4 linked regions of the Drosophila melanogaster genome follow. The protein of the gene in region 1 interacts with the protein of each later gene in a pairwise test. Each region holds a gene or a part of one and is shown on either strand. Other genes may lie near its edges. The genes, in order: CG9083, CG15198, Jon99Cii and Irp-1A.

The links.
Region 2: the proteins of CG9083 (region 1) and CG15198 interact in a two-hybrid assay, tested with the Drosophila melanogaster proteins (one large-scale study listed by BioGRID).
Region 3: the proteins of CG9083 (region 1) and Jon99Cii interact in a two-hybrid assay, tested with the Drosophila melanogaster proteins (one large-scale study listed by BioGRID).
Region 4: the proteins of CG9083 (region 1) and Irp-1A interact in a two-hybrid assay, tested with the Drosophila melanogaster proteins (one large-scale study listed by BioGRID).

What each region holds. Positions count from the first base shown.
Region 1 is NT_033778.4:24,894,048-24,901,748, reverse strand, and holds CG9083 (uncharacterized protein), read right to left. Parts: upstream 3,477-7,701; 5' UTR 3,408-3,476; coding exon 3,390-3,407; exon of another isoform or gene 3,322-3,389; coding exon 2,386-3,321; 3' UTR 2,244-2,385; downstream 1-2,243. Other genes in the region: Tpc2 (thiamine pyrophosphate carrier protein 2), read left to right, coding at 1,245-2,216; NaCP60E (Na channel protein 60E), read right to left, coding at 694-905, 7,143-7,179.
Region 2 is NC_004354.4:11,243,485-11,250,853, reverse strand, and holds CG15198 (uncharacterized protein), read right to left. Parts: upstream 2,619-7,369; 5' UTR 2,446-2,618; coding exon 2,077-2,445; 3' UTR 1,969-2,076; downstream 1-1,968. Other genes in the region: CG44422 (uncharacterized protein), read left to right, coding at 3,387-4,107.
Region 3 is NT_033777.3:29,921,828-29,929,202, forward strand, and holds Jon99Cii (jonah 99Cii), read right to left. Parts: upstream 2,789-7,375; 5' UTR 2,761-2,788; coding exon 1,963-2,760; 3' UTR 1,927-1,962; downstream 1-1,926. Other genes in the region: Jon99Ciii (jonah 99Ciii), read left to right, coding at 415-1,212; Jon99Ci (jonah 99Ci), read right to left, coding at 3,472-4,027, 4,085-4,347; CG15522 (uncharacterized protein), read left to right, coding at 6,168-6,294, 6,354-6,748; alpha-Man-Ic (alpha-Mannosidase class I c), read right to left, coding at 6,976-7,375. UniProt on the Drosophila melanogaster protein: Major function may be to aid in digestion.
Region 4 is NT_033777.3:22,718,838-22,728,373, forward strand, and holds Irp-1A (iron regulatory protein 1A), read right to left. Parts: upstream 5,751-9,536; 5' UTR 5,688-5,750; coding exon 5,675-5,687; exon of another isoform or gene 5,615-5,674; coding exon 5,522-5,614; exon of another isoform or gene 5,511-5,521; intron 5,451-5,510; coding exon 5,281-5,450; intron 5,215-5,280; coding exon 4,485-5,214; intron 4,423-4,484; coding exon 4,322-4,422; intron 4,259-4,321; coding exon 3,487-4,258; intron 3,423-3,486; coding exon 2,593-3,422; 3' UTR 2,483-2,592; downstream 1-2,482. Other genes in the region: wge (winged eye), read right to left, coding at 1,034-1,180, 1,242-1,686; RNF220 (ring finger protein 220), read right to left, coding at 6,236-7,432; CG45049 (uncharacterized protein), read left to right, coding at 8,470-8,654.

The sequences.
Region 1 (7,701 bases):
GCTGGCCACTTGCATGTTTATTCAGCCCAGTCCCAGTCCAGTTCGTCCGGCTAGGCCGCTTTTCGGAATTATTTCGCCACGACACGTGGCGCGAAAGCCGCCAAGTCTTGAGTACACTTGCATGTTCGCCTATAATTTGTCCTCTGCGGCTGCTGCGGCAGCGGCTCCGGCCAGTTTGTTTGAGTCACGTAAATACGGCTGTCAACTTTGCTGCCCGGAGCCCTGTGCATGACATGACCCATATTTCCAGCACCGAGTTCATGCCTGCACTAACACTTGGGCAGACGTGTTTGCAACTGTGTGTCCTTTGTTTGATGTACACAGTTCCAAAATTTATTCCCGGCTTTGAAATTTAACGAACGAACGGCATTTACCCTGATTTCCTTTTCGGTTTTCGAGGGCCGTTCTAGGCGTTTCCATTAACCCCAGTTTCCCTGAGCCAAAGTGCACTTCCACTTGTGCCTACAATGGGGCAAGTGCAGCGAGACGGCGGTATGAAAACAAAAGCAACAACAGCCGCGCGCCGCGTTCCATTTCCGCCGCCTGCACCTGCCACCACGAGGATTGCCCTACCATGAGAACACGGATCTGGGGTCTGGTCGCCTGCCTGTGACTTTTTAATTAGAGCCAATGGGCGGCCAAGTGAGGCGAGGCCGCGGATAATGAGGGAATGTTGAACGCGGCAGTACTCACCTCCTCGTAAATGAAGGTGTCAATCTCCTCCAGCGGCTTTCCGTACATGTGCTCCGGAAAGGGCTCGAATTTGCGGGGCAGCACGTCGCCGTCCTCCACGGAGGCCTTAGTGCGCGGGTGGAAGCCGTACTCCCGCACCAGCTGGATGTGCCGGTTCTCGTGCTTAACCTGCGACCTCTGCGTGTACGCGACAACCTGGTGCTTGGCGACAGCTGAAAGAGATCGAAGGGATTAATAATGCGACAACCAACACAAGCATAGAAATGTATGTACATTCACATGCAGACCCCAACTAAAGTACGTAGACACCTTAAAAATTTTAAGCTTTTACATTCTTGTCAGAGAAATTATTGTGTATTTTAAAATTTCGACTAAATATTAAATTGGAAAATACTGTGTAATTGGCCAGAGCTTAATAAAAGCCTAGCCACTTTCTTATACAGTAGCAGGAAATTTAGCTTGCGGAATGACAACACACCACTTCGTCCTCATCTGTACAGTGAATAACTCCTGCCGTGAGTGAATCCGTCCACTGCTCGTCGCCACATCCGATGCCCGAAAACTCGGTGGTAGTCCAGTTAATGCAGGCCGTCGGCGGCGGAATCGCCGGAGCTGCGACGCGGACCATAACCCAGCCGCTGGACGTTCTGAAGATCCGATTCCAGATGCAAGTGGAGCCGGTGACAAACCATAAGGGGTCCAAATACCGTGGAGTCATCCACGCTTTCAAGTCGGTGTACGCCGAGGAGGGAATGCGCGGTATGTTCCGTGGTCACAACTCCGGCCAGGTTCTGAGCATTTCGTACGCTCTGGTACAGTTCTGGTCCTACGAACAGCTTCGCTCCATGGCCCACCAGTTTGACTACTGGAGGGAGCGACCCTTTCTCATGTTTTTCATCTGCGGCGGCATAGCCGGATGTCTGGGAGCCGTGGCCGCCCAGCCGTTCGACGTGGTAAGAACACAGATGGTGGCCGCAGACCCCTCCTCGCGCCGCAGTCAGATGAACACTTTTACCGGACTTCGAAAGGTCTATAAGATGGAGGGGTGGATGGGACTTTCCCGAGGACTACCCTTCACGCTTGTGCAGGTGTTTCCGCTGGTAGGGGCAAACTTTCTCTTCTACAAGTACCTCAACGCGGCTGTCTTGATGGCCAAGCCTCCCGACCAGCGCCAGGAAATCCACGGCGCATTTCTGTTTCTCAATGGGGCGCTGTCAGGGGTGTTGGCCAAGATGATCGTGTACCCGGCGGACCTGCTTAAAAAGCGCATCCAGCTGATGGCCTTCAAACAGGAACGTAAGACCTTTGGTCGCAACCCCGAGTGCCCTACGATCCTGGGCTGCATCACCACCACGTTTCGGGAGGAAGGAATCGGAGGCTTCTATAAGGGAATGTTGCCTACTCTACTCAAGGCAGGACTGATGAGTGCCGTGTACTTCTCCATCTATGACATGTTTAAGCGCCACTATATAGCTCCGATGAAAGAGGCGGAGAAAAATCGGCAAAAACTGGGCAAGCATTAGGTAAATCACATACTGGGCGGCTGGCTTAAATTATTACACTAACATGGTTTATTTTGTACACCAGTATCTTGGGAGAATGTGTGGAATATGGATGAGCGAACATGTCAAATATAAGTTAAACGTGAACAGTAGACTAGACGACCAGATGGCCAACGACGGACATTGCCGTCTACTTCCAGTTTGAACTGGATCCTGCCCAGCCGCCTGAGGCCGGCGCTGAGTAGCTGTATCCGTCGCCACCGCCGCCGGAAGACCCGCCGTAGGAGCCACCGCTGCCTGAAGCAGCGGCTGCAGCCACCACTTGTGTATCATAGCTGGATCCGCCGCCACTGCTATAGCCACCGCCATGTCCACTGCTGTATCCTCCAGAGCTGTAGGACGAGCCGCTGCTGTAGGAGGAGGCTCCGCTGTAAGAGGATCCACCAGAATATCCACCATCGTAGCCCCCGGAGGAGCCACCACTGTATCCACCGGAGGATCCGCCGCCGTATCCGCCGGAAGAGCCATGTGAATCTCCAGCCGCAGCAGCAGCCACAATCACCTGGGTGTCATGACCTCCTCCGCTGTGACCGCCACCGCTGTAGCCGCCGTATCCTCCGCTGCCACCATGATCAGAGGAGTCTGAGCTGGCGGCGATGGCTGCAATGTTGGCGATGGCATGGCCACCATAACCTCCGCCGTGTCCGCCGCTGCCTCCATGTCCGCCATGTCCGTGATCGGAGGACGAGCCAGCAGCAGCAGCGATGGCAGCAATCTTGGCATCATCATGACCGGAACTATATCCGCCGGAGCTGTATCCGTGGCCACCTCCACCGCCTCCGCCACCCCCGGAACTGTATCCGTGGTTCTCGGTGATAACAGCATAGGTGTTCACATGACCACCGCCTCCTCCACCGCCGCTGTATCCGCCATCGTGGGAGTGAATCTCATAGCCTCCACCTCCATGGCCGCCAAAATCACCGCCTCCGTGGCCGCCAAAATCACCGCCTCCGTGGCCGCCGTGATCCCCACCGCTCTCTGGCAGGTGAATACGGATGTGGACATGCTCTCGTCCGAAGGTGGGCTTTCCCCATACCGCTGGGCTAGCCAGCAGAAGCGCACTGATCTGGGAGTGGGAGGAGGGAATCTGTGTTAGGATCCACCTGAACTGACGTGGTGTCGTGCCAAACTCACTATGAAACGGGCTGCCATTTCTCTGGATTCGTTACGAAGGACTCTCGAATGATTGCTCGCCTCTGGACCGACTGGAAATGATTCGGCAAACATGGGCACACGCCGTTTTATAGCCCTCTTCTCCACTCGGGAGCCATGCGGTTATATAAGCGATCGCTTGCCGCTGAGCAAGTGCAGAGATAATCTCTTTCGCCGACGACGAGCTGAATGAAGTGGAGCCAGACCACTGGAGACTTCACGACCGCGACCCATTGAAGGCCAACTGGCCGCGTCTTCGTCTTCGTCTTCTTCTCGGCCATCCAGTCTTCACTCTCCCTTTCTGAAGATCGCGAGAGTGTTGACCTTTCACATCATCATCCCCAGCATGTGCCCAATTGCAATACCACACGGATAACGTAAAAAAGGGTCTGTGACTCAAAATTATTTTAAATCCCATGGTGTGATGCCAACTTAAGTGTATCAATCATCTTTGGTTTTCCATTTTCAATATTTTACATGATAAACAAAACCGGTTTCGTAGACCAATTTAAGATCGCTAAAAGATATCTTAAATTCCTTTTGCTATATTTACGTAAGAAAATCATATTTTACGAAAGCAGCTTGGATACTGCATAAAAATGTTTTTCTAAATCTAAGACTTTTATTTTGTAATTGTAATACACGGATTCTCCCAGTGCACTAACACACTCTCTCGAGGAGCATTCGCTTCTGTGCTCTACTTTCTTTCGAGAGAAAATCTGAGTGGCCCTAAGCTTCGTGGGCTGGCGGCCGAAAATAGCTAAAACCGAAACTCAAACTGTGGTAATATGCAACTTGACCAGTTCCAGTTTTGGCCCAGAGCTCGTTGCTATTGCTACTTTATCACATCGCCGATGCTGGTTGTTAACCGTTAGGTATTTTGTTGACGTTCATGTTTATGGATTTTTATGTAGATACGACGAACTTCCTATTGGCAATTCCTTATTGTTGGTCCAGACTTGCATAACGATTGGCCAAGGGTTGGCCGGGTTGGCTGCTGCCCGCTGGCTGCTCACTGTCGCTAGTCATTAACCCATTGATGGCCGTACCAGTGCCGGAAATTATCAATATAATTTTGTTTACCAACGCGAAGCAGTGGTGCCGCGGCTGTGAGGCAGGGAAGGAGCCAGTTACTGTTCTTTGGATTGGGCCAGGTCAGGTCGCCGTTTGGCGAGAGGCTCTCGAGCGCTATTGGGTTAAGCCTCGCCTGCAGCAACATCAAAAATATCTTGTCATGCCCCCGCGCTGCAACATGGGCAAAAGGCAACGCGCCGTGGGTTTTGTTCGCGCTTACATCAGCAAGATGTCCGACTGGCAGCGGAGAGAGGTCATGGCCACTGGCCACCCAACACCTCCAACTCACCCACCCACCAATCTGGACGCCCCAACAACCCCCGCCGCCATGCTTTCGCCGTTGATTAGCCACTGTTTTCATTAGCAGTGAGTGACTTGGGCCGAGCCAGCGAATCGGGGCCATCCGGCCATTTCGATTACGTCGCTGATTATCATTTCTCATCTGGCAGCTACGGAGCTAGGCAGCTGACTGCTCGCTCGGCAGATTCCATCACTGCCGAATAATTAATATACATTTAAACTGTTTCGGATTGTAAACAAAGCGGGCTTACATAAGGAACTAGCTGGGAGCAGCAAGCGGGACACCGACGCAATAATCTGTTGCCAATAAAGCCACATCGCCGGTCATAATCACGATGCTGTGCCGAATGAAGTTCGAACTGGAAGCCGCTGAGCTGGAGCAAATGGGCTGCACTCCAGTGCCATCAGAGCATCTTTCAATGGGGATTACATCTTCAGCTAGAGAGGGCCACGCTCACGATGATGAAGCTGCTTCTGCTGCCCCGGCGATGACGGCAATGACGATGGGCAACCGGTTGGCGGTCGCACATTAACATCAGATGCAACGAAGACGCACATCTTCCCCATATTGCATAATCGACCCGGGCTCGCGACTCGAAACTCCAGACCTGCCGTCGCATCTTCACGCGGAAGCAAAGTCATTCTCAAAGCGCCCAAAAACAAAAAGGAAATTGCACACCGATACAGAAACTAAAAGCAACTAGCGACGTGCAATGTCGTGGTTTTCCCAAAAAACCAGTTGCATCCACACACAGAGAGAAAAAGGTGTGCTACAAGTGATTCACGAGATTGTGGGCAACAGTTTTAGAATTGTGGGGAAAGTCTTGAAAAAGTCAATTCGATTTTCTGCTATATTATGGTGCTCTCTTGATACTCCTTATGTACTGCATGCTTTGCTTCGGATTTCCTGGTTTAACTTTCAAAGTTTGTTGTTTAAAGTGCAGCCATTGTTGCAGTTGCAACTGGCATTGCTGCCTCTGTTGCAGTTGCAGCTGCGCAGACCTTTGAGCAAGTTCAATGGTGACGGGAATGGGAATGGAAATTGAAATGGGATTGGGATTTGGACTCGGAGCGGAGGCTTAGGGGGTAGGGCAATTACGCCCCTCGCAGTTGGGGCGCTTGCTCTCGACTGCTTCCTGGCCCTGGCCAAAAACCAAATCCAATTCGAGACTGGCAAGGCGGAAAGGAAGGTGGTCGGTCCAAGCCCCAGCCCAAGCCGAGCCGAAGGAGAAACCGAAACACTGGCTGCAGTGATGCGGGACAAACAAAAGTGAAAAAGTGAATCGGTAGGATAAAGCGAGATGCAGCAACAATTGCTCTACATATTTAATTAGTTTCCGTTTCCGTTCATATTCGTAATCCGCAGATGGCAGCGCCTGCTGGCCTTTGTGCATTGTTCACCTCCCCAGTGAATATACTCCGCTGACAATGGCGCCCTGCGCCCACTTATCAACCCAAGGCCCACCCACTCACTCCTGCTGTAAGGACAAATGGCGCTCTCTATCGGCGCCTGCAAAAACGATTGCGTAACTTATGGCCAGTCATCAGCCGAAACTTTTCGGTCCGACAAAAGCGCTTCCCATTTTCGATTTGTTTATCATTTATTTAAACGGCCTTAGGGTCACTCTGCCCCGCCATTAAGCTGGTTCGATTCCATTTTCGTTTTATTGGCCAAGACCCAGGACACAGGACCCAAGTGCCCCAGACCCAAGCACATGCCCCGTATCCAAGGCACAACCGGCACACAATGAGCAATGCTATTTAATTATGTTGATGAGCAGGACCGGACAGCAGGACAGGAGTTCGGGAAGTGGCAGGAAAACGCTCAACACGCACAAAAAGGAAATGCCTTTGGTCCCCCCACCCCAACTGCCTTTTATATGGCACTGTGGGTGGCTGTTGAAGAATGTCAATCTTTGAGCTCATAACTTGACCTGCTAGTTTATTCTTAAGCCAATTGTTGGTTTCAGGGATAAAAATATGCAGAAGTGAACTTAAATAGGCCGAGAAATTAATAAAATTGTAAAAAATAAAACAAACTTGCTCTCTATGGAAAGAAGTCGTGCAACTCCAGTCAAAAGACTTCTGTGTGTGCAGAACCACTGTGCACGTCTTTCTTTTGGTTGGCGTGCAGGTGTCGCTGTCAGGATGTCGGAGGACCTGATTGAGGAAGGAGAAGGAGCAGAAGTCCTGCCCTGTGACACCTGCCCCCTGACCATGCATACTCCCGCATACAGATTTGATGGCCTCCCGGTTACCCAACTCCCCCCTGGTCACATCGGGAATAATATTTATGAGGCCGGGTGGCTTAGAAAACTATCAATAGCAGTATCAGGAGGGCTTAGCGGTTAGGGGACTCACCTTTCTCATCGTTGAACGTCGCTTGATCATCACTCATCTTGACTGATTGTCGTCGTTTTGTTGGGTGCTGCCTCTGGTTGCGGTTGCTTCTTGGTCCTTCGACTCCGTCGTCGTCGTCGTCCTGGGCGAGGTCCTTAGGGCAGCTGCATGCCTTGGTCGCGCTCTCTTTTGCCAGGCTTCTCACTCGATTTTCGAACACTGGGCATATGTCTATCTCACTATTCAAGCGAGTCGATCGCTCAGTTTACCGATTATATTGTCACCGTTCCCTTTGTTAACCATGTTGTGCCTAGTATCTACTATTGCTGTTGCTATTGTTGCTGTGCTTATCACGCTTGGGGCTTTCATGATGTCTGCTGCTATTGCTATACTATGCAAATCTTATGACTACGACCGTTTCCAATAATGGCATTTGGCATCGTCCCAGCTCAGTTGCTCAGCCTGGTCGTCTACTTCTATTGTGAGCTTTGGCTTTGTTGTGCTGATTATTGCTTTACATTTTGCGATGCGATGCGTATGTTTTCTAAACGAGAGAAAGAGATTGATGTAAGTGGAAAGA
Region 2 (7,369 bases), on another chromosome or scaffold:
AGGTTGGCGGCATAAAGTGTTCAGCTCCTTGTTGCTGTTCCTGCTGCTGCTGCTGCTGATGGTGCTGCTGTTGTGCAGTTGCATAAGTCTATCAATAAATAATAAATTTTTACTTCATTGAATTTGCAAAAGCAATACGTTCGATAGACTCCAGGCCGAACGCACCGCACTCCTGCAGCGCCCCAAACGATTGGGCCAAAGGATGATGTGCATGTGAATGTGGATGCTGCTGCTCCTGCTCCTGATCCATTTGCCAGTTGCCAGCGAACCATAAATGATGCAGCTGCAGCTTCAGATGAAATCCATCGCAACGGCTTGCAAATGTACGAACGAATTTCTTTCCAAAAATAATGCTCCCCGAATGGGATTCCACTCGAATCGTTTATTGTTGAACAGTTAACGGGAAAACTCTTTAGCCGCCGAAAATTTAAGTAACCAACTGGCTTTCTTAAATAATTGGCATTCAGCCAATGATCCATTGCTATGATATAACTAACCAAAGGATTTCTGAAACACCACATTTTGCAAAAAATTCATACTTTCAACTAATTCAATTTGCTATAACTTGGCCAAAAAAGGTCACCCATTCAAAAAAAAAAGTACTTTTTTATACAGCTAATAAATCAAAGAAACGATTTCTATGACCATTTTGTTAATTTGATAAAATAAATTTTTTTCAAATTTTCAGATTTTTTATAAGGGGTAACATCATCATTTTTTGCGAAAAATTGACAAAAAATTACATTTTTAACTGTGAATGCCATTCGAAAGGCAATTTTATGACGAGTTCAACGAGGTATGGCATTCCATGTTTGGATAAATAACTTTATTGCTATGAACAAAATAATGATTATATTTTGTTGAAAAATTGGTGTTTCATTTTGGCAAAATGATGATTTTTTCGAAGAATTCAGTTTGCTATAACTTGGCCAAAAATGGTCACTTATTCAAAAAAATTACTGTTTTATACAGCTAATGATCCAAATAAACGATTTCTGTAACCGTTTTGTTAATTTGAAAAAATTGATTTTTTTCAAATTTTCAGATTTTTTATAAGGGGTAACATCATCATTTTTTGCGAAAAATTGACAAAAAATTACATTTTTAACTGTGAATGCCATTCGAAAGGCAATTTTATGACGAGTTCAACGAGGTATGGCATTCCATGTTTGGATAAATAACTTTATTGCTATGAACAAAATAATGATTATATTTTGTTGAAAAATTGGTGTTTCATTTTGGCAAAATGATGATTTTTTCGAAGAATTCAGTTTGCTATAACTTGGCCAAAAATGGTCACTTATTCAAAAAAATTACTGTTTTATACAGCTAATGATCCAAATAAACGATTTCTGTAACCGTTTTGTTAATTTGAAAAAATTGATTTTTTTCAAATTTTCAGATTTTTTATAAGGGGTAACATCATCATTTTTTGCGAAAAATTGAAAAAAAATTACATTTTTAACTGTGAATGCCATTCGAAAGACAATTTTATGACGAGTTCAACGAGGTATGGCATTCCATGTTTGGATAAATAACTTTATTGCTATGAACAAAATAATGATTATATTTTGTTGAAAAATTGGTGTTTCATTTTGGCAAAATGATGATTTTTTCGAAGAATTCAGTTTGCTATAACTTGGCCAAAAATGGTCACTTATTCAAAAAAATTACTGTTTTATACAGCTAATGATCCAAATAAACGATTTCTGTAACCGTTTTGTTAATTTGAAAAAATTGATTTTTTTCAAATTTTCAGATTTTTTATAAGGGGTAACATCATCATTTTTTGCGAAAAATTGAAAAAAAATTACATTTTTAACTGTGAATGCCATTCGAAAGACAATTTTATGACGAGTTCAACGAGGTATGGCATTCCATATTTGGACAACTATTTACATTGCTGTAGGAAAAAGACTGATCATTTTTCGACAGACTATAGAAAAAATACGAATGGATTATTTTTCTGGGCCTTTTATTTTTGTATTTGGGGCTAGCTTGGTGTTGCGAGTTAGCCTATTCAAATAGCCAGTTGGTAGATAAAGCTTTCTGATCCAATGTGAACTTCCTCTGGTTCTAACCACAGCCAGGACCATCGATGCGAGCGCCCTCCATGCAGGGATACGGCTTGCATGTGGTGTTGTTGGAAGACGACGCACCCTGATCCCCTCCAGTGCCCGCTGCTCCGCCCATACGAGCGGCGGCGGCCAGGACCTCGACGGTGCTATATATGTTGGCCACGATTACCATGCCGCCCGCAGCTCCGCTGGGCAAACTGTTGGGATCCGTTGCATCCGTTGGAGAACCATTGGTGGTCGTAGTAGTTGGCTGACAGTTGGGTGAGCATTGCTGGCCGGGAATCTCGGGAATGGCACACGCCTTGCTGGGATGTGGGCCAATGTAGAAGGGATTGAAGGGTTTGTCGTCGGACTCGAGGGTTTTCATGGTGATGGTGAGCGCAGCAACGTTTAAACGGCAAAGGTAGAAAATGTGGAAAAACACGGAGTTATTCACACGGAAAAATTTTGAATTTTTTTTTTTTTGGCTAGTTTTCCGAACTGTTCGGTGTAAGGTTTGCCCCAATACTGAACAAAAGTCAACCACACGGATGGTTTTATCTATGCGAGTTTCATTGCGAGGCCTACTTACTTGGGATAACAAATGTTTAATTTAGTTGTAATATTTTGCATAAATTTAATAGGTTACAATGTGCGTTAGCATCTCAATCGATGTGCATTGGCAACTTAGTTAGCCGCAATTTACTGAGAAGGCAATTGTCTAGTTTAGTGTATCATTTAGTAAATAGGATTAAAATGGGCTAACAAGTGCGCTTACAACAGCTTTATAATTCACATACGCACACACACGCACACACATACGCATGCACGCATACTAACAATGCAACGCTGCTGGCAAATGGAATAAATGGAAATTCCTGGAAATAGTTTTCTTTGTTATTTACTCTATTCCGATCAAATTAAGATAATTAGAAAATAATATGGGAACACGATAAAGTACCCAGCTTCGAAAGCATTTGGTACAGTTTGTTTGTACTGTTTTTGGGAAACTAATTAATTCCCAAATGAAATTAAATTAAAGAAATTGATCGGTTTAGAGACCTAAATGCCTTAGTATCGGAACTAACATATATATTCTGCTCGATTTTACTCGCTTCTCGCAGATGCGGCACCGCTTAACCCCAATCTGCCTAACAAAGTGACCGCCGTAACCATGTAACTGTCCAATATGCTACTAAAACCACTAAAACCAGCCAGCGACAATTAAAGCCAGCCGCTAGAGAGGATCGGGAGCAGGAACAGGAGCAGCAGAAGGAGGTGGAACTCTAGCCGCTCCAGCAGTACATAACATACACTGAGAGAAACATTATGGCCGGGCCACAGGTGCAGCACAGCCAGCGACCGAATAGCGCCTACTACACGGGTCTAAATGGTGGTTCCGGCAGCGGCGGCGGCGGAGGAGGAGGAGGAGCTGGAGGCGGCGGCGCAGGTGGTGGATCCTCCGCCGGAATGTCAAGCAGTGCATCGCACACCGGACTGCATGCCCTGCGCCAGGTGAGCAACGAAACGGAGCTCATCTATCGTGGAAGCCACAGCAATGGCACCGTCAACGAGCTGCCCTCGAGCGCCCAGCATCACCTGCTCACAGGTCGAGCGGTCCAGCAGCACCAGCAGCAGCAGCAGATGCATCACCAGACGGTGAGCAGCATCGCTGGCACCGGATCCAGTGTCACAGATGCCCTCATCAGCACCATTAACTCCGGCGGTGGCGGTGGTGGTCCCTCCGGCAGCAGTTGCTCCACGGCGGCATTGGGCATTAAAAAGTCCAGCACGCAACGCAGCATCGAGATTATTGTGGACGCCAGTCAGTGCGGCAAGGAGCTGGTGGCCAGTGGTCCGGGTTCGGGTGCAGCGGGCTCGGGGGCAGCGATTGTCTCCACCCTGGACGTGGAAGATGTGGAGCAGGGCGGTGGCGGTCAGGAGTCCTCCTCCTCGCATAGGAAATCATCGCGCCATCGGCATCGACCGCTCCACCGGCGGCTGATCACGTATCTGCGGAACCTCTTCCAAGGCAGCACCACACAGAATGGTAAGGCAGCTTTTGTAAGAGGAGCAACTGCATCCACTTGGGCATTTCATGCATTTTCCTAAGCTTCTAGTTTTGAGCTAGATAATTTCTTGTAAGGAAAGAGGGAAACCCGAAACTTAGATATGTGATATGATTAAAGTACATTTGTCAGTTTCTTAAGAAGTTGTTTTGAATTATATTATTTCAATTGGTTAAAAAAAGTAGTTAAATTTAACCTTTTTAACAAATGAAAATTTAAATATTATCATTAATGATTTCTGTTTCTAAAGAGCGTTTTTTTTTTCACTGTAAAGTTTTAGTTTTTCAAAAGCACTCTTCCACTTTCACTTGTCACCCTCTGTTTTATATTCTTTTCAGAGTGTACTTTACATATTTGATTTTTTCTTTTTGATTTCTGTTTTTTTTCTTTCTGTGTAGCTGTGAAAACTCTGCTGGTTGCCTGGGGCTGCATCGCAAAGCGTAAGCGGCAATGTCTGTTCTTCACCCGTAGAACCCCTTAACCCTTACCCTAACCGCGCCGCCTTTAACCCGATTGTTGGCCATGACTAACCCCTGCCAAAAAACGTGCTAACCATTTTCAGTTTGGGTCAATTCATGGCCATGAATCCACAGCCGTTGGCCTGGCCGCGTTGCAGATATACATATTTTTTTTTGTTTTTGTGCGCATCTTGAGGTTGGCAGGCGGGAAAAAACGCTCGTAAAACGCGCCTGCGGTTCCGCGGCTGTTTTTGTCGCCTGGCCGAAATTTATGCATGGCGAACTTTTTTTTTTTTTGCGAACGAAAAATCATCAGAGCGTCCTTGAATGGATTTTCTATTGAAAATCTATTAGGCGTTTGCGGTGTATGTATTTTTTGTTGTTGTGGGCGACGCCTGAAGCTGGAAATTGCTTGGCCTCTCTCTATTGTGTTTGAAATTTTATTTACGAGTATTTCAGGACCTGTGAAAAAGTAATTTTAGATTTAAGGTGATTGCCGTAGGCCAAAAATAATTGTTAAAGATTAAATTGAATTTCATTTTGAAATTCTTTTATTGTTATAATTTTGTTTCCTCGCAAAAAATGTGCTCTGCCAACGCGGCGTATGATTTATAACATATTACTCATGCGCCGTGTTGCCATCAGCATAACATATTAAATTTCCTAAATATTGTTAAGTAGATTCACGAATTTGAAGCCCAAATCTGTTTGCCTGTGGCGAAGGCACAATCAATCAAATTTGTATAAGTTCTTTTATTTTTTTGGGAACCCTCAACGGATTGTCGAGCAAAACTTTTACATTGTTACTTTCCAATTCGATTCGATTTGATTTGATTTAATCTGAAGAGCAACGAAATCCTTCGCTTAACCCTTTTGTGTCTGCTGTGTCTTGCATGATTAATTATGGAAATTGATGGAGCTCCGGGTGCTCGTGCTCCCCAAGTTGAGATTGCATTGATTGTTTACGGCTCAACTATGAGAGCGGATCCCCTTTGGCTCCTTTGGCTCCTTGGAAGTTCACTCAGCCATCGAGTCCTTCGAGCAGCTTCTTTTGTCAATTTGCCCGCCCAGAGCTCTCCGTCTTCATCGTTGTTCATCCTTGTTTTTTGTCTGTTCCGCTTAGTTCCCTGCCATTCAGTATTTTCCCTATTCGATTTTCCCGCCCAATTTCCATCACCCACACCCCCACCCCTTTTTTTGCCATCGTACAAGAGCAGTTGGCAAAATGATGAGCTCAACATAAAAGTTGCATGGCTCATCCTGAAAATTGAATGCAGGAACGGTTGGAGAGGAAATCGATATGGAAAACAATATAATATTTGTTTGTCAGAGCTTTGGATTCGAATGTTTTACACTGAGATAAATATGGGGTTCATTTGATGCCAGAGTATCAAATACGTCGTCAAAGGTAAACAAAATAATGAGTAAGTCTTGTTTGCATTTACAAGGGAATATAAATATAAATATCTAAATATATCTATTTTCTATTAAATTGTATATTGAGTTGATGCCGATGGAAATTGTGGCAGTGGATTAGCGTAGCTGGCCATGGGTAACTGTTGACAATGGCAGTAGACAAGAAATCGAAACTCTCGGAGCACAGGAACTTTGAATCTCAGTCGCCCACACTTGACTCTCACCACTTTCGGAGAAAGTATTTTCGACATTTGCAATGGGCGACGGATTTGCAGCTTGGCCAGCGATGAGAAGCGGCGCAAAAGTTTTATTGAAAAAGTTTGATGAATGACAAGTTGGCTTCCTGCGAAAAGCAGCGACTCCATTGCGCCAGCAGCCCCCAAAAATAAGCAGCCAAAAGTCCACCCAACTTTCGGCACTCCATTTCTCATACCTCATACTCCATACCCAAGTGACAAATCGCTGGCTTATGTTATCAAATGACATGGCATTTAAATGTTATTTAAGGCCAGAAACTTTAATTGAGTTTAAAGCGCGCGCAAATTGAATTTAAATTTGTTTTAGTGGGCGAAACTTGTTTGGCGGCGAAATAACGAGCATTTGTGGTGGTCATTTGGCGGCAAATTGTGTACAAAATTGTTACAAATTAAATAAAAGGCTTATGGTAATAAAATATAGTTTATATACATATATTTGTTGAGTCATTAACAATTGAAAACGGTATTTCATTTAGTTATATTTTCCTATTGTTGTGCACCCACATCTCTAATTGATCTTACACTTTTTTAAGTTGTCCAATTCAGTTCTCGCCCATTCCATGGCTCCACATTCGTGCCCCAAAGTCAAGGACATTGAGAATCCTTCGTCAGCCTTGGCCGCGACAGGCATTTCAATTAATTACAAGAAGGGTGAAGCAGATGGGTGCTTCCATGGCCCGGGGGCCACGAGGGAGATCAGGAGGTCCCAAAGGGGGAGCAGAGCTGAGTATCCTGGCAAGGCTAAAAATATACTGACTCAAATGAAAGCGAGCAAAGTTGCAATCGAGCAAAAAATATAAATTACTAAAAAGGGCGCTTCTGACTTTAGGTGCACGCCATAAATCTCTAAAAAAAAGAGTACAGTCGTGAGTTATATATATTATCATATGAATTTTTATCTATATTAGAATAAAATGTTTAAAATTAATATATACCAATATTCTTACATGCTTGTATAAATTTCTATATACATTATTATTTTTGTATAAAGTTTGCTCTTCGGGAAGTGTATGAAAATAAGACAAAAACAATTATGGCGCGTGTGTGTGCGTAGGTTGAAAATAAATTGAAGCCGCTGCTCGTTTTGGCTTTGGTAATTGGCTTACTCCACT
Region 3 (7,375 bases), on another chromosome or scaffold:
TTATATCTCTAAGCCCTCAACATGATCGTAAAAATCTATAGTATCAATGCTGATTTGCTTTATGGCACCGATAAGATACTTATGTGTTTAAACAAATTGAATGTACCCACGTAGAAAATGATTTTATGAATTGCATCCGATGAGTAGTATTTAACATTAAATTTATTGTATTTTTAACTGATTCGCAAATCATTGAACACTGATAAGTTTACGTTTTTTATATTGCTGTACAAGCCTCTGCGTTGTTTATTTTTTGTCTTTTTGCTCCTATGTAATCTGGATGACATTAATTTACTGCCCTCCAGCTCAACATATGGGTAGTTTGACACTTGGTCAAGATAAGACAAGGGACTTCTTCTGTATATAAAGGCGCTTCGACATCGGAACACCATTGAGTTGCAAGACTTGACCAAGATGAAACTGTTCGTATTCCTGGCCTTGGCCGTGGCCGCAGCTACTGCTGTGCCCGCTCCCGCCCAGAAGCTGACCCCGACGCCCATCAAGGACATTCAGGGTCGCATCACCAACGGCTACCCAGCCTACGAGGGCAAGGTGCCTTACATCGTGGGTCTGCTCTTCAGCGGCAACGGAAACTGGTGGTGCGGTGGCTCGATCATCGGCAACACCTGGGTCCTGACCGCCGCTCACTGCACCAACGGAGCCAGTGGAGTGACCATCAACTACGGAGCCAGCATCCGCACCCAGCCCCAGTACACCCACTGGGTGGGCAGTGGCGACATCATCCAGCACCACCACTACAACAGCGGCAACCTGCACAACGACATCTCCCTGATCCGTACCCCGCACGTCGACTTCTGGAGCCTGGTCAACAAGGTTGAGCTGCCCAGCTACAACGACCGCTACCAGGACTACGCCGGATGGTGGGCCGTGGCCTCCGGATGGGGCGGCACCTACGATGGCAGCCCACTGCCCGACTGGCTCCAGTCCGTCGATGTCCAGATCATTTCCCAAAGTGATTGCAGCCGCACCTGGTCTCTCCACGACAACATGATCTGCATCAACACTGACGGAGGCAAGTCCACCTGCGGAGGCGACTCTGGTGGCCCCCTGGTTACACACGACGGCAACCGCCTGGTCGGAGTGACTTCCTTCGGATCCGCCGCTGGCTGCCAGTCTGGTGCTCCCGCCGTCTTCAGCCGCGTCACCGGATACCTGGACTGGATCCGCGACAACACCGGCATCTCCTACTAAGCAGTTGATGTTCCTTAATTCTGAGGGGTTTCTTCAATAAACGATTATAGCAAGCAACTCAAGTTCTGTTTTTGGGATGGGATTCAGATGTCTTCTTGCTTAAGTAATGAAATCAATAAAATATTTCCAAGTGAAGGGAAATATATTAAACTGCAAACGGAAATAAACTTATTCCGATTTCCGATTTATGTATCGGAAAAAATCAAGCTTTAGGAACACATAATGACGAACCATCGGACTATATGCAAATATATATATATGGATCATACGTCTTATTATTATGTATTATTATTATGTATTGTTTATAATTATTATGTATATTATGTATATAAAAAGCAAACTGGATTGAAAATGGTGTATGTAGAATATTGGACTTGTTATATTTGCAACATAATTAAAGTGCATAAACATAATATAAATTTATGTTATTATAAATAGCTGCAAGTGGACTTTCCTAGCTTAAACAGTTTTAAATATAGGAATACCCTATAGTCGCTACTAGCGTTCAACAGCTATCATATGGATAGAATATAAAAATAGGATATAAAAATAAGTTAAACAATCTCGTTTTAAAAACATTTAAGGAAAATATGAGATTACTTTTAGTTTTATAATATATGTACATTTAATGTACATAATAGAATATATAAATATTTAGCTCTCAATAATGTGCCCCTCAATCTACAACTGAATAAATAGTTTGGTCGAATTTTTCATTTTTGCTATAATCGTTTATTGAACATCAACTGCTTAGTAGGAGATGCCGGTGTTGTCGCGGATCCAGTCCAGGTATCCGGTGACGCGGCTGAAGACGGCGGGAGCACCAGACTGGCAGCCAGCGGCGGATCCGAAGGAGGTCACTCCGACCAGGCGGTTGCCGTCGTGTGTAACCAGGGGGCCACCAGAGTCGCCTCCGCAGGTGGACTTGCCTCCGTCAGTGTTGATGCAGATCATGTTGTCGTGGAGAGACCAGGTGCGGCTGCAATCACTTTGGGAAATGATCTGGACATCGACGGACTGGAGCCAGTCGGGCAGTGGGCTGCCATCGTAGGTGCCGCCCCATCCGGAGGCCACGGCCCACCATCCGGCGTAGTCCTGGTAGCGGTCGTTGTAGCTGGGCAGCTCAACCTTGTTGACCAGGCTCCAGAAGTCGACGTGCGGGGTACGGATCAGGGAGATGTCGTTGTGCAGGTTGCCGCTGTTGTAGTGGTGGTGCTGGATGATGTCGCCACTGCCCACCCAGTGGGTGTACTGGGGCTGGGTGCGGATGCTGGCTCCGTAGTTGATGGTCACTCCACTGGCTCCGTTGGTGCAGTGGGCGGCGGTCAGGACCCAGGTGTTGCCGATGATCGAGCCACCGCACCACCAGTTTCCGTTGCCGCTGAAGAGCAGACCCACGATGTAGGGCACCTTGCCCTCGTAGGCTGGGTAGCCGTTGGTGATGCGACCCTGAATGTCCTTGATGGGCGTCGGGGTCAGCTTCTGGGCGGGAGCGGGCACAGCAGTAGCTGCGGCCACGGCCAAGGCCAGGAATACGAACAGTTTCATCTTGGTCAAGTCTTGCAACTCAATGGTGTTCCGATGTCGAAGCGCCTTTATATACAGAAGTGGTCCGTAGTCTTATCTCGACCAAGAGCCCTTCCTTCCACACGTATGTAAAATGGGAGGGCAGTAAATTTTAATCAAGTTATCATCGCGAGCCATCGTCGACTGATAAGTCCACTACAGGTGATTTTTTTTTTTTGTAAATTATGGCCTAAATTTGAAGTGGAATGACATGTGCCTTATTTGCAACTTACTCTTCAGTATGATAGTATCATGTAAGGACATTCACTTCACCTAAAATATATTATATACTCAGATTACCCAAATGAGGAGTAAAGTATTTTATGATCTTTAAGAAATTTAAATTCTGAATAATGTTTATTGAAAGTATTTACTACCAATTTCAAAAAAAAGTGTGATAAAATATTACTCATACGGCACATTGTACAGTTTTTGTTCTCAACAAGTTGATTTTTAGATTATCAAAAAATAAAACACTAATAGGTTAATATTACATAGGTAATGTATTAAATGGTATGTATTATGTAATATGTAATGTATTGATTATGTATTATTGGTAATTTTATCTCTAAACATGAATATGCCACTATCTTCCAAGAAATTAATAATACACAAAATATAACAGCATATGTTCTTCATTTATTTAAAACTTGTTTAAGCACCTTTTTGCTTTGAAATTAGTAAAGTTTTTTTTTAATAATAGATTCCAGTCTCCTCCTTTATCCATTCCAGGTACTTGGTGACCCTAGTGAAGCCAGCCGGTCCTCCAACCTGGCATCCGTAAGCGGAGACGAAGGAAGTGATTCCGATAAGCTTATCACCCTCCTTTGTGACCAGAGGACCACCAGAATCACCCTGGCAGGTGGCCTTTCCGTCCGGAGTTTCCACACAGATGGTGTTCTCGGAGGCGGTATCAGTTCCGTAGTAAGCCTGGCACTCCGCCACGGAGATCACTTTCAGATCCACCACTCGCAGATCCTCCACCACATTGCTGCCATCGTAAATGGCACCCCATCCGGCGGCCTGAACCCAATTGTTTTCGTAAGAGTTGTATCGGTCATCCAGGCTGGGAAGCTCTATTTTGTTGACCAGGCTGTAGAAGTCCACATGGGGAGTCTTGATCAGGGCCAAATCATGATCGAGTCCAACGTAGTGGGGATATCTGATGAAGTTCTCGCTGCTCACTGTGTGGCGGAAGGCAGGTTCGTTGTAGTTGACGGCACCATAGTACAGTGAAGCCTCATCAGCACTGCAATACGATGATTTATCAAAGAGCGTTAATTATTTGTGAAATCAAATAACTCACCCAGCGGTACAGTGGGCAGCAGTGAGCACCCAAGTGTGTCCGATTATGGATCCGCCGCACCACCACCAGTTTCCGTTGCTGTTCAAGCTCACACCCACGATGTAGGGAACCTGACCCTCGGACGCCAGGTTTCCGTTGGTAATACGACCCTCAATCCCTCCATGACGAATCTCCAGATCGCGTGGATGGACCAGCGAATGGGGCACAGTTAGGGCACTACAGACCCCAAGGAAGGCGAGCGACAAGAGTGTAAGACCCCTCATATTGAAAGACTAAAAGGCTCCCATGGTGGTCCCAATACTATATAGCTTAGCCATAATCACTATCGATGCTAATTCAAAGTGCGAAATCTTATCTCGCAGCACTTTTATCAACGAAAAAGTTTGATTTATACTAGCAGATACTCAAGACGAGTGTTTGGCAGTATGAATGAAGTGTTAGCAAAGGGAATAAGAGTGTTTTGAGTGCTTCAATCAATTCTGAGTGGATACAAGTTCAAGCAATTTAATTCATTTAATTTTATTAAATCATAAAGAATTATTAACCATGGTTAATAGTAAATGCCAGTCTGCTCCCTGATCCAAAAAGGGCTGCCAATATGGGTACGCAAGCCTTCATTTTGTATACTAAAATCTCCTGTTGGTCTCACACTTTTATATAGACCAATGAAGTCACTATCGATGCACATATAGAAGTGTACAAGCTTATCGTGCAATAAATTATTTTAATTTATGCCACCCAATGGATTAACTTAGTAATAGAGTGCGTTATGGGATTATGTACTTCAAGTTCAGAAAAGCAAAAGTTTATAATCGTACCTCAAAATATATATTCAAATTGTATGCAATGGTTGAGTTTATGCATAAATTCCCAGTAATATATGTCACAGCACAACAAGTGAAAATGTGCAAGCAAGGTGTCATGGGGGGGACTTCAAAGAACCCCAAGGAACAGAAATGGCAATCGAGGGTCATGTGATATCCTTGAAGTATTGCAGGGAATAGTGAAGCAGAAAAGAAAATACGATTATGGCAATCAAAAGGGAGGTCCACTTTCGGAACTACGGAGCAGCAGTATCACTCAAAGTGAGGCGATGGCTTGAAATCCGATATAGTTTCTGAGGAACGCCTCGGGCGGAGTGGGCGAAATGGCGGACCCATTCCTCATTAGGAAGCTACTGGGAATGCCTTTGTTTGCATTCTCCGAGCTTCCCCTTGACCGTCCTTCCGCCGACGTAGTGCCACGCTGAAATGTGCAACATATCGGGGCAGGAAACTCACCACACGGAACGGAAAACGGAGAACGGAGAGCTATTAAAGCCGACCCCCAACGAAGCGTGAGTCAGTTCCCGACTGGGCGTCCGGGCATTCAGACCGCTCGCAAGGATAACGCGCAAGGATCCGAGCGAACGCGACGAGTAAATAAAGCATAAATAATACAATTAAAAGTTGAGCGCGCTCCCTTCGCAAAGGACATTCCCACACTTGTAGCCCACTTCCTTCGGGCAGTGCAACACAAAAGTGCAGTCATTAATTAATTTAATGCATATGTACCCCATCCTGGCAGCACAAGAGTCGAGCCAAGCCGACGATATCCTATAAAGCGAGTGAGTGAAAAGTGTTCGACGAAGCGTTTAAAGGACCGCGCTGTTTGCCGTGTGCGATGCCCATAACAACGGGCTTCGCGATTGCCTTTTAAGGTGGGGCGATTAAGTCACGCTCCTCCGTATCAGCGGCATCGCCAGAACAGGAACTCGGGGCATTGACACTGCGGTTTTAGTGCTCAAACTAAAAATGTGAAAGGAGAACATTAAATCCTGACATGACATACCAAGAGGTGTTATATCATTCCAAGTTCCGCGCTCTTAAATCCTTGAACATATCGAAGTAATTAAGAAACTTACAGCTGTAACTCACAGATACAGTTTCTAATGTTTAATTACAAATTCCATGCTTTAGGCACTAGATACCACCGATAGCACCATGTTCCCACCCAGTTCTGAAGGACACATCCGAGTGTCTCGACGTGACTAGGCCAAGCAGGCCCCACAGATTATAATCCCCAAGGGGACCAGGTCATCAGGATGCACCAGGTACTCAGCTACGAGACGGCGGTGCGGGCCAACAGCTCTCGGGAGTTCCGCGAGTACGTTTCCAAGCGCACCTGTGCCTCCCTGGTGCTAACGATTGGCTTCTTCATGCTGATAACAGGTGAGTGCATTCACAGGACAGCGCCTAATGAGTCACTCTTGTGTGTCGTGGTTTCGCAGGATACTTGCTCGGTAATTTTGTGGCCGAGCGCAAGTACCACATTCGCCAGATGACGAAAGACGGCGGCAGGTCCGTGAAACTGAGCAGCGCCGAGTATGCCAGCCTGCAGGAGCTGCAATCATATCAGAAGGCCAAGGATCAGCTGTTGCTGGCCGCCCAGGAGCTGGACAAGCTGCAGCAGCAGGACGAGAGCGAGCGGTATCTGGCCACGTCGCTGAACACGGAGATCTTCAACAGGTACATATCCTGCACGCAGGATATACCGCCCAACACGAACATTGCGGCCAGTCAGTTCACGGAACAGCTGATCGACAACACGGTGGCCAGGCAGCGCCACTGCTTGATGATCATCCAGCGGGTCATCGACAACCACCTGGCCAACAGCCAGCTCTAGAGCTCTAGGGCGGATGCCAGCGATGGTTTAGCGGGCCAATGTTCGACATTTGACATTTATGTGTGTATGTGCTTTTAGGTGTGCTCAATGTGTGTGCTCCCAGCTAATTAGAAATTAGGTTTTGTAATTCATTGTGAAAGTATTAGATCACACAAGTTTTTTATACATGTCTGCATTAAAAGTTAAACTTTAAATAGATGCTAACTATTTTGGTAATTGGCTAATGTTTAGTTCGATGAGTTATGCTGACGATACATTGGGTTCACGCCCTTAATGGGCAGGAAATGGCCTGCACTGTTGAAGACCCACTGCTCCAGCGAAACCACGTCGTCGTCGGAGAAGAGCAGATACAAATACTTCAGAGTGGAGCCCAAGAAGAAGGACCCCTGCACGTCATCCGGTTCCGAAGTAACGTTGTTAACGTCCATCACTCCAGTATATCCGTAGGGCATTCGGCAGTACTTCTCTATCGCCTGCACCATCTCCAATCCCCACAAGCGGTACTGTGGATGATGGGTTATGCGCCACAGAACCAAGTAAGTTTCCGCGACTTCCGGCCGTAAATTGTAATAGTTCCTCTGGAGCGGCTCTATTTCCTGCTGGCTTTCCTCCGTGAAGGCAAACGTA
Region 4 (9,536 bases), on another chromosome or scaffold:
ATTTCCCTGCCATCATATTGCTCTAACCATTTATAGACGTTATCATTTAAAGAATAACATGAAATTCCATGTAGTGATTAAAACAAAGTACACAGTTTCCTGTACTCTTGCTCTTTGATTAAGGCTATGGCACATCTGGTACTATTTTGTAAATAGATTGATATGAAAAAGTAACCCATCCAAGATCATAAAGTTCATGTTCGTGTCATGGGCATGGTTGATTATTTCACCATTAGCAGACTTTAAAAATAATCCGGAAAATGTAATTCGACTGGCTACGGCGACAAAACACACCCCCAAAAAAATATAAACATATTTATGTGCCCATCTAAAGAGCAATTTCAAGTCGACCAGAGCCAAGGCGACGCAAAGCCTCCCTTCTCAAATCGCAATGTGTTTCACTTTCGTTTCACTTCCGCTTTAGAAGTTCGTATGATTTACCACCGGGTTTCCTTCTGCCCGCAAGGGAGGATGGATATGGGGATGAGCCGTTTTGAGTCGAATCCAGTCGATTCGGTGGCTGTCACAACAACGACAGCCGCACAACAGGCGGCCATCATATGATTCCTGCCCTCTAAACTCCAGCGGGTTGTTTAAGGCGGAGACGACACCCTCGGCCATTGCTCACTGATGGAATTCCGCACAGCGCTGAACGTTTGTTGGCAATCTTATTAGTGGCATAATTGAACGACGTCCACGTCCTGGCATCATAAGCATCATATAACGTTGTCCCTTGGGAAGCGCCGTTCATTAGGGGCGCTCAAATCTGGTGACTCAATTGAATTAGATGCCCAGAAGTTACACGGATGGAAAAAATGTATGGCACAAGACAGTGATTGTCTTAAATTTACATATCATTTAACACAAATGGAAAACAGCATCTAGAAATATCTAATGATTCTTTAAGTAAATCATTTGGTATCTCAAAGATAGCAGATACCTTAAAACAGTTTACATCCCCTTGAATATCACTAAGAACTTATTATTTCCATGAGATGAAGCTGCATTTCTCTCTGTGTAGCTTGGCACTCACCGAGGTCAGCGACGCGTATGCCGAAGCAGTTCAAGTCCTTGTTGAGTGGTGGCTGCAGCGGCAGCGTAGCGGGGGTGTTGATAGCCGGCACCAGAGCTTCTTGCGGGCGTTTCCTGGCCACGGCGATGCCAATGGGAACGGAGTTGCCTGATAGAATCGTAATTAACCGATGAGGAGTGCTCTTGACCAGTGGCTGGGTGTCACCTACCTGTGGACTTTTCCAATTCCGATACCTTTGGCGAGGGAGCCTCTATTTTGACGAGAGTGGTCAGTGTGGAGGAGGACATGGTCTTGGAGGAGGCGGTCATCGAGGCGGAAGACAGGCCCTGATGCTGCACCTGGTGCTGGTGGTGTTGGTGATGTTGCTGCTGTTGCTGGTGGCAATTGTTCGAGCTTATTTCGGACACCTGGCAGGGTTCCCTCTTGATCTGCACAAAAGTGTACGACGAGTTGGTCTGCTGATGGTGATGGTGCTGCAGGGGAGTGGCCGTCGCCGCGGAGAAGCCTCCGAATTGATCCAGCTGCAGATGGGCGGTATGGGCACCAGGATGCGATACTGCCGCAGTGGTGGGCACCAGAAAAGTAGCCGTTGCTGTGGTGGCGCTCAGAACGTCGGCGGCACTGCTGCTGGCGCCAGGATTAAACGTGGCCATCGGGTAGCGGTGGCTGTGCACATATATGTATGGCTACCGCTCCCTGGGATCTCTAGCCTATACCTATTTCACTATATATCTTGCGGATTCGACCAAAAACTAAACGTCCATTATCCGCACACACAAACACACGTGGACACACACGGCACACGGACACACACTAGCACTGGCCCACACACACACGCACACAGTCTACATTTTTACAGGTTTTCGCTGCCTCTTTCGGATGCAACATTGGCTACTGGGCCTGCGGCAATTCCCCATAAACAAATGACATAATCCAAAGCGACGCGACGCCACTGGGCACTATCCACAGGTCGAGGGAACCGAAGCACCCACCAGTCCAAGTGCGGTTGCCCAAAATAAAACCCTGTGCGATCCGAGATCTTTTCTTTTTTTTTGTGTTTTTTTTTTTTGGTGGGGAGGCGGAGGCGCGACTTTCCTGCTGCGTTGTTGCGTTTTTGCGCGGTTCTTCCAAGTGAATATCGAGCACTGGCTGCAGAGCTATTGGCCAACACACGATCTGTTGCTTATTTATGTTTTTCTTTTGCGAATTGGAATCAAAATCCTCTGGAGAAAAGTCCACGGGACGGACAAAAAAAGAAGCAGCGAACTATGTTAAGTTAACAGCGATATAACAGGGACTATTCGATTTTATTGCTGCCTTGTCGATGATTCACCAGCAGGCGTTAGGCATTTTTAGCAGGACTGGTTTGGCCATCGGCATTTCTGCTATCGATAACATCCAGAGCGCGCAATTTAAAATATTATAAAATATTTGAAATATTTTTTTTTTAATAATTATCATCTCACAGATGAATGTCAAATTTTATTTCCCAGCACATAATAACAATTAAAAGTCGCCTAGAAATGCATATGGAATATAAAAGTCAACGAACGCACTAACTAATCCAGCATTTTGCGTATCATATAGTTCAAAATGCCGCCATTCTTGTAGTACGTTATGTCCACCTCGGTGTCGAAACGCAACGTGGTCTCAAAGACATTGCCATCAGCATCGACCTGAATCCTCTGGCCCGGCTTCAGTTCGCCCTCGGGCAGGACAATGTTGTACACCTCCCTGCCACTCAGTTTCAGGGTATCGGCGCTCTGGCCAGGCAAGAACTGCAGCGGAATGATGCCCATGCCCACCAGATTTGAGCGGTGAATGCGCTCGTACGATTCAGCAATCACCGCCTTGATGCCCAGCAGAAATGGCCCCTTGGCGGCCCAATCACGTGAGCTGCCACTGCCGTAGTCCTTGCCTACGACCAGAACCAAAGGTGTTCCTTCGCTCGCATACCGTTCCGCCGCATCGAAGATGTCCATCTCCTCGCCACTGGGCACGTGCAGTGTGCTGGGTCCCGTCTTGGATGCCAGTTTATTGACCAGACGGATGTTGGCAAAGGTTCCGCGTGCCATCACCGCATCATTGCCACGTCTGGATCCATACGAATTAAAGTCGCGCGGCGTTAGACCCCTTTCCGACAAATAGCGCGCTGCCGGTGACTTTCGTGCAATGGATCCGGCTGGCGAGATATGATCGGTGGTCACTGAATCACCGAGAAGCAGCAGACAGCGAGCCTTCTCGATACCTTTAAGTTTGGGCAGCGCACGAGTCATACCCTCGAAGAACGGTGGTAGTTTGATGTATGTTGATATTTCACTCCATGGATACAACTTGCTATCCGACACCTCCAACGTTTGCCAGTCCCTGGATCCCAGTTGAATTTTGCCTGTGATAGCGGACACAGTTAGCCTAGAGCTGCGGAAAAATCTTAGTCAGCTAGCTATACTCACTGTACACCTCCTGGAACATGGCGGGAATGACGTGCTTATGCTCTACCTCCTGAATCTCACTGCGCGTTGGCCAGATATCGCGCAGGAACACCTCCTTGCCGTTGGAATCCACGCCCAGCGGTTCGATCTCGAAATCAATATCCACACGGCCGGCAATCGCGTAGGCAATCACCAGCAGCGGACTGGCCAGATAATTGGCCCTAGTATTGGGATGGATGCGACCCTCGAAATTGCGATTGCCCGACAGGACGCCACAGCAAACCAGTCCGTTCTTCTCGATGGTGTTCACTACGTTCTCATCGAGCGGGCCCGAGTTGCCAATGCAGGTCATACAGCCATAGCCCACAATGTCGAAGCCCAGCTGCTCCAGATAGGGAATCACACCGGATTCCCTCAGATAGTAGGTAACCACGCCAGATCCTGGTGACAATGAGGTCTTGATATACGGCAAAATACTCAAGCCCTTCTGCACGGCATTCTTGGCCAGCAGACCAGCGCCCAACATCACCGAGGGATTCGAAGTGTTCGTGCACGAGGTGATGGCGGCAATCACAACAGATCCATGACCTATCTTATAGCTCTTCCCATCGTCCCATTGGAATTCACCACTTGCAGCCAATGCACTCGGTGGTATGGCGAATCCCTTGAAGCCGACAGGACTTATGAGGCACGACTTGAAGTCTTCGCACATGCTGGAAACTGAAACGCGATCGTGCGGTCGCTTGGGCCCCGAAACCGAGGTCACCACGGTGGATAAGTCCAAAGTTACAGACTGCAGGGTAAAAAAGTGATTCGTTAGTATGTCTTTGCATTGGAAAAACAGAATCTCACTTACCTCCGTGTATTGGGGATCCTGATCCACAAGGGAATAGTCACGAAGTTGTCGAGTGGCCTTCAAATACTTCCGGATAATATCGATTTTCTTCTCGGAGCGATCTAATGATCCACATCCATGGATATCAAGTAATAAATTTAGATAATTTTTAAGATTGACTCACTGGTTTGGCGCATGTAACTCAGCGTGTTTTCATCGATTGGGAAGTAACCCACAGTGGCTCCATATTCCGGACACATGTTGCTGATGGTGGCGCGATCCGCGATGCTGAGCTCTGCCACTCCGGGGCCGTAAAACTCCACGAACTTGCCGACGACACCAAGCTGACGCAAATGCTTGGTAATGGTCAGCACCAGATCGGTGGATGTGGCCAGAGGGCCCAGTTTGCCCTCCAGCCTGTAGCCAATCACCTCTGGCAACAGCATGGAAATGGACTGGCCCAACATTACGGCCTCCGCCTCGATACCGCCAACACCCCAGCCGAGAACACCTAATCCATTGATCATTGTAGTGTGGGAGTCAGTGCCCACAACGCTATCCGGATAAAGGATCTTAGATCCGTCCGCTGAACTGTCGCTTTCGAAAACCACTCGGGCCAGATACTCCAGGTTAACCTGGTGCACAATGCCAGAGCCGGGTGGCACAATTAGCATATTGTCAAAAGCGCGAGCTCCCCATTTGAGGAAGGTGAATCGTTCCTTGTTGCGCTGGAACTCTAGTGACTCGTTCTTGGTCAATGCGTCCGAGGAGCGAACGAAATCCACCTGAACGGAATGGTCGATGACCAGGTCGGCAGGGCAGATGGGATTGATTTTCTCAGGATTGCCGCCCAGCTCGCGGACAGCATCCCGCATGGCAGCAAAATCCACGACGGCGGGAACGCCAGTAAAGTCCTGAAAGCAGGGAATATCTTAAGAAGTCACATACAAACATAATCTATGTGATGCAATAATCCACACCTGCAATATAACACGAGCTGGCTTGAAGGAGACTTCCACATCGCTGGTTTCCTGCTTCAGCGATGGAGTCCATCCCAGGATGCTCTGCACATCCTTCTCCAGCACATGAAAGTTGTCACAGTTGCGCACCGCTGATTCCAGCAGAACGCGAATGGAAAAGGGCAGTGACTCTGTGGGGGGTTAATAATATTCATAAAGATAACAACAATAATGATAACGAACAACAATAACGATTACCAACCATATTTGCTGTCGATGGAGGGCAGATCAAAATACTTGTAGACGTTGCCGTCCTGGGTGAATGACTCCTGGAACTGGGCAAAGGGATTGGCGCCTGCAAGGAAGACAGGATTAGCGTACAGATCAAATACTCCTTTTTCCAATTAAATCCCACCGGAGCCGGACATTGTGGAAAAATTAAACAGAAAACCAAGCAATGTGATATAGAGATGAGCGCGTGAGGAACCGCTACCAGGCAAAACTTGCTCATCACTAACGCAAACATTATATTATCGATAACTGAACATGAAAACAAACCGGTACACAGTAAAAAATATTTATTTATTACTTAAAATGAAACATTTGTAAATTATAGTGGAATAATTTATCATTTTTGTGATTCGAAAATAATATTGGATATAATATTGGATTGATTGCTTTTTTATTTTAGTTCAAAATAAGGTATTTAAAATAACTTGTTTGCATGTCTTTAAACGCTTTTCCCTTCCTACATGCTAATTTCGTTAAATAAACTTAAATATTAATTATGTTTTCTGCGGTTTATTGCAATAGTTACATGGTAGGCTTATTGTAATGTCACGTAGTATAATTGGTATTTGTAATCTATATAAATAATATGTATAGGGGATTATCATCTAAAGCTGCGTCGGGATGCAAAGCCTGTTTTATGGCGCAAGCAATTTGGCAGCGGGGATAACAAGTCTGTGATGGACGTCTACAGGTAGATTCGTCGCAGGTCCTTCGGCGTGGTAATCGAGTTGCACTGCGGGCACAGCTTTCGCGCGCCGAGCGTCTGCAACCAACACTGCTCGCAGTGGACGTGCCAGCAGGACACGGAGATGGCGGGATTCTTGTAGTCGTCGATGCAGATCAGGCACTTGTACTTGCCCTGCGCCTGCTTTTCGTAGAGCCGCAGCTTGGCCTTCAGCGATTCGATGATCTGCTGCTGGTTTTGGGAGGTGGATCGCGTGGACCGCGACGTAGACGGCTCCTCGCTGGCTGGTGGAGCCTCCACGTTGCTTGTGCTGGCAGGCTCTTGCTCGGTGGCTTCGCTGGAATGGTTTGGCTTGGGCCCATCGCTGGAGGAGATAAGTCGGCGCACGTAGCTGGTAACATCCGCCTCGGAAACATTTCCCTCTGTGTCCTCGTTGACCAGTGGGATCACATCGCCCTCGCCATACTGCGTAGGACCATAGATGTGAGTGTCATCCTCGTCCACGTTGAGATCTTCGTCCTCGTCGTCCTGCGCCTGCTGACTGCCATTGTATTTGATTCTCTGGCCCAGGCCCAGGGCGGAATAGCCTCCTTGCACGAGAGTGGAGACGCGAATGCGCTTCTGTCCCGCCCACTCGTACTCTTCATATTCCTCGCTGTCCTCCGAGTCCTCACTCGAATGCCGCTCACCATTGGCCTGACCATTGCGGCGGCTCTGGCGCAGGCAATGATTAACATGCTCTTGGATGTTGGACTGCGGAAAGTTGTGGTTGCACACGGGACAGGTGGGTTGGCTCGATTCGGCAGCAGCTACGGACGGAGTTGCTGCAGCTGGAGGAGGAGCAGCTGCTACCGTAGGATTTACAGTTGCTGGTGGGGCAGGAGAAGCCGGACGCTTCCTGGTGCGCTGGCGCTGACGGGCCTGCCGATTGCGCTGCACCCGCTGGAACACGCTCCACGGTTGTCTGCCCCCCGATACCGAACCGGATTCCTCGGACGCGGTTGCTCCGCTAGTTGGGGTCGGTGGAGTGACAGCGCTAATGGGATTGTGCAATCGCTCCATCTCCACTTGGCAGTGATCGGCCACCTGACTGCGCTTGATCTTCACGTCGCATGTGGGACAGATCACGTCGTCGTCGCTGTTTCTGCTCAAGTGCTGGGCGAAGTTCTCGCCGTTGGACACCGTGTCCGTAGCCATCGATTCCTCGGATCCACCGCGGACTCTTAAGGGTAAACGAAGTTAAAAGATTCTGTAGTCGGATTTTGTTTTGTTCGATAATCTCTGTCCAAGCCACGCGACGCCGATTTCTTACGTTCTCGTACGGTGGAAAACGGTCACACTGATTTCGTTATTTTTCGTGTCAGTGGAAGTGGTCATTGCGATATACATCGTAAAACCGTTACAAAAGCGCCAAGCACAGTGATTAATATGCTTAAGCAATAATTAAAATTTTATTCACTTAAAAATATCTTTATAATAATTGATTATTTGTTTGAATTCCGTGTTAATTAAAACTTCAAAGTTTGCATTTTGCATTCCAACAACTCTTTTGACCTTAAGTCTTACAATAAAATAATTAAACGTACTGATTTCTTAATTTTTACTCTACTCTGGTTGGTCTTAATACAGCAATATATATATATTATCAGATTGCGTTGTTTACATGCCCGATATAACATGTGACAGATAGTGTCTCTCCCTCACTGTTAGGAAATTTTTATAAAGCACAGCCCCCGCTTTGATAAAAGTTTAAACATCCGAAATGTAAGCTATTTTAATTTCCTTTCTTCGTTAAATTAAATAATTTGACGGTAAATGTAAATTAACTGATAGTTCCATGGCACTTTATCGCTATCGAGAAATGCCCAGCCAAAACGATAGTATCGAGACAACATCGATTTAAGTTCCAGCTCTATGAGGGAAGCAAAACATTATTATTTTCGTCGTTTTTATTTTTTGATTATATAGAAAAGTCAGTGGTCGAGGAACATGTGAAAGTGGAAAAGCGACAGAGCTTTTCAAGCAGAGTGTAAGTGCATACAGGTTGAACCCAAAACCGACGCATATTTTTGCGAAAGTGCAAAGCAGACGGCGAGAGTGTGAAAAGGCAGCGAAAAGAGAATAGAGAAAAAATATAGCAGCCAGTTTCTCCTGGGCGTGAGTGTGTGTGCGTGTGCCATATTGTTAAATAAGGCAAATATAGTAAAATAAACGTAGAAAAAACAGCAACAACTATGCATCAGCAGTACCAGCAGCAGCAACAACAACAGCAGCAGGGTAACCTTGTTGGCTACAACAACAAAATGAACGTCTTGCCCAATTACACGCTCAGCGGAATGAGCTCCTTTGATGCCGAATCGCTGCCAGATTATTCAGAATTTGATTCCGAATCGGTAACCCTGGACTATTACAAGGAAAGGTATATTCCTGAACTCAAACAGATCGCATTTTGTTTTGCTTCCGTTCTTCCGCATAGCACACAACACACACACACACATATATAAACATACGTGTATACGAATTCCCTCGCCCTTGCCATTGTTGTTGTTTTGCATTTGGCCGTTTGCCCCAATTTTGCCTGCCGTTACCGTTACGTTCTATATAGCAATTAACCGTTATGATCCTGTTGCCATGCCACTCATTCACACACACACACTCACACACACAAAGTCGGTACTCGCTCATCTGCGAAATGTGTTTTTGTTTTTATTCCACATTTCTAGCCGCTATATGTAAAACTATATTTATCTCCGTCTAGCCCGTCGAAATATCTTGAGATACATTAGACGCAACATCTACTTACACAAACATATGCATCTTTGTTTGCGTATCTGAAGATATTAAAATTGGCAGGGAATCGTGCGAATTAGGCATAATATGCAGTTTTAACGAAATTTTGATACACTTCCTATTTGTTAGCAACTATTGAGCAAGATCGATAATAAGAAGACTCTGTTTTATAATATTTGTTCAAAATTTCATTTCAAGATGCTGATATTTTTTTTACAAACGTACATAAATTGTCACAAGTCTGACCTATTCTATTGTACTCTCAGTTAGGGTATAACAATGGAATGCGAATGGATAATTAGCATGTCGGTATTTCCAGCATTCAAAATGCTTAGTTGCAGTCCGCCTTGCAGCATAATTTATGTGGGGACTGCACCTCATCACCCCAGCTTCCGTCTTTTGTCATTGAGCCAAAATACGCCCCCCAATGATGACTGAAATATTCCGTCGCGTTTTTGTCTGGCACAATAGAGCGATTTCAATTTAAACAATCCCAAACTCATTCAACTGT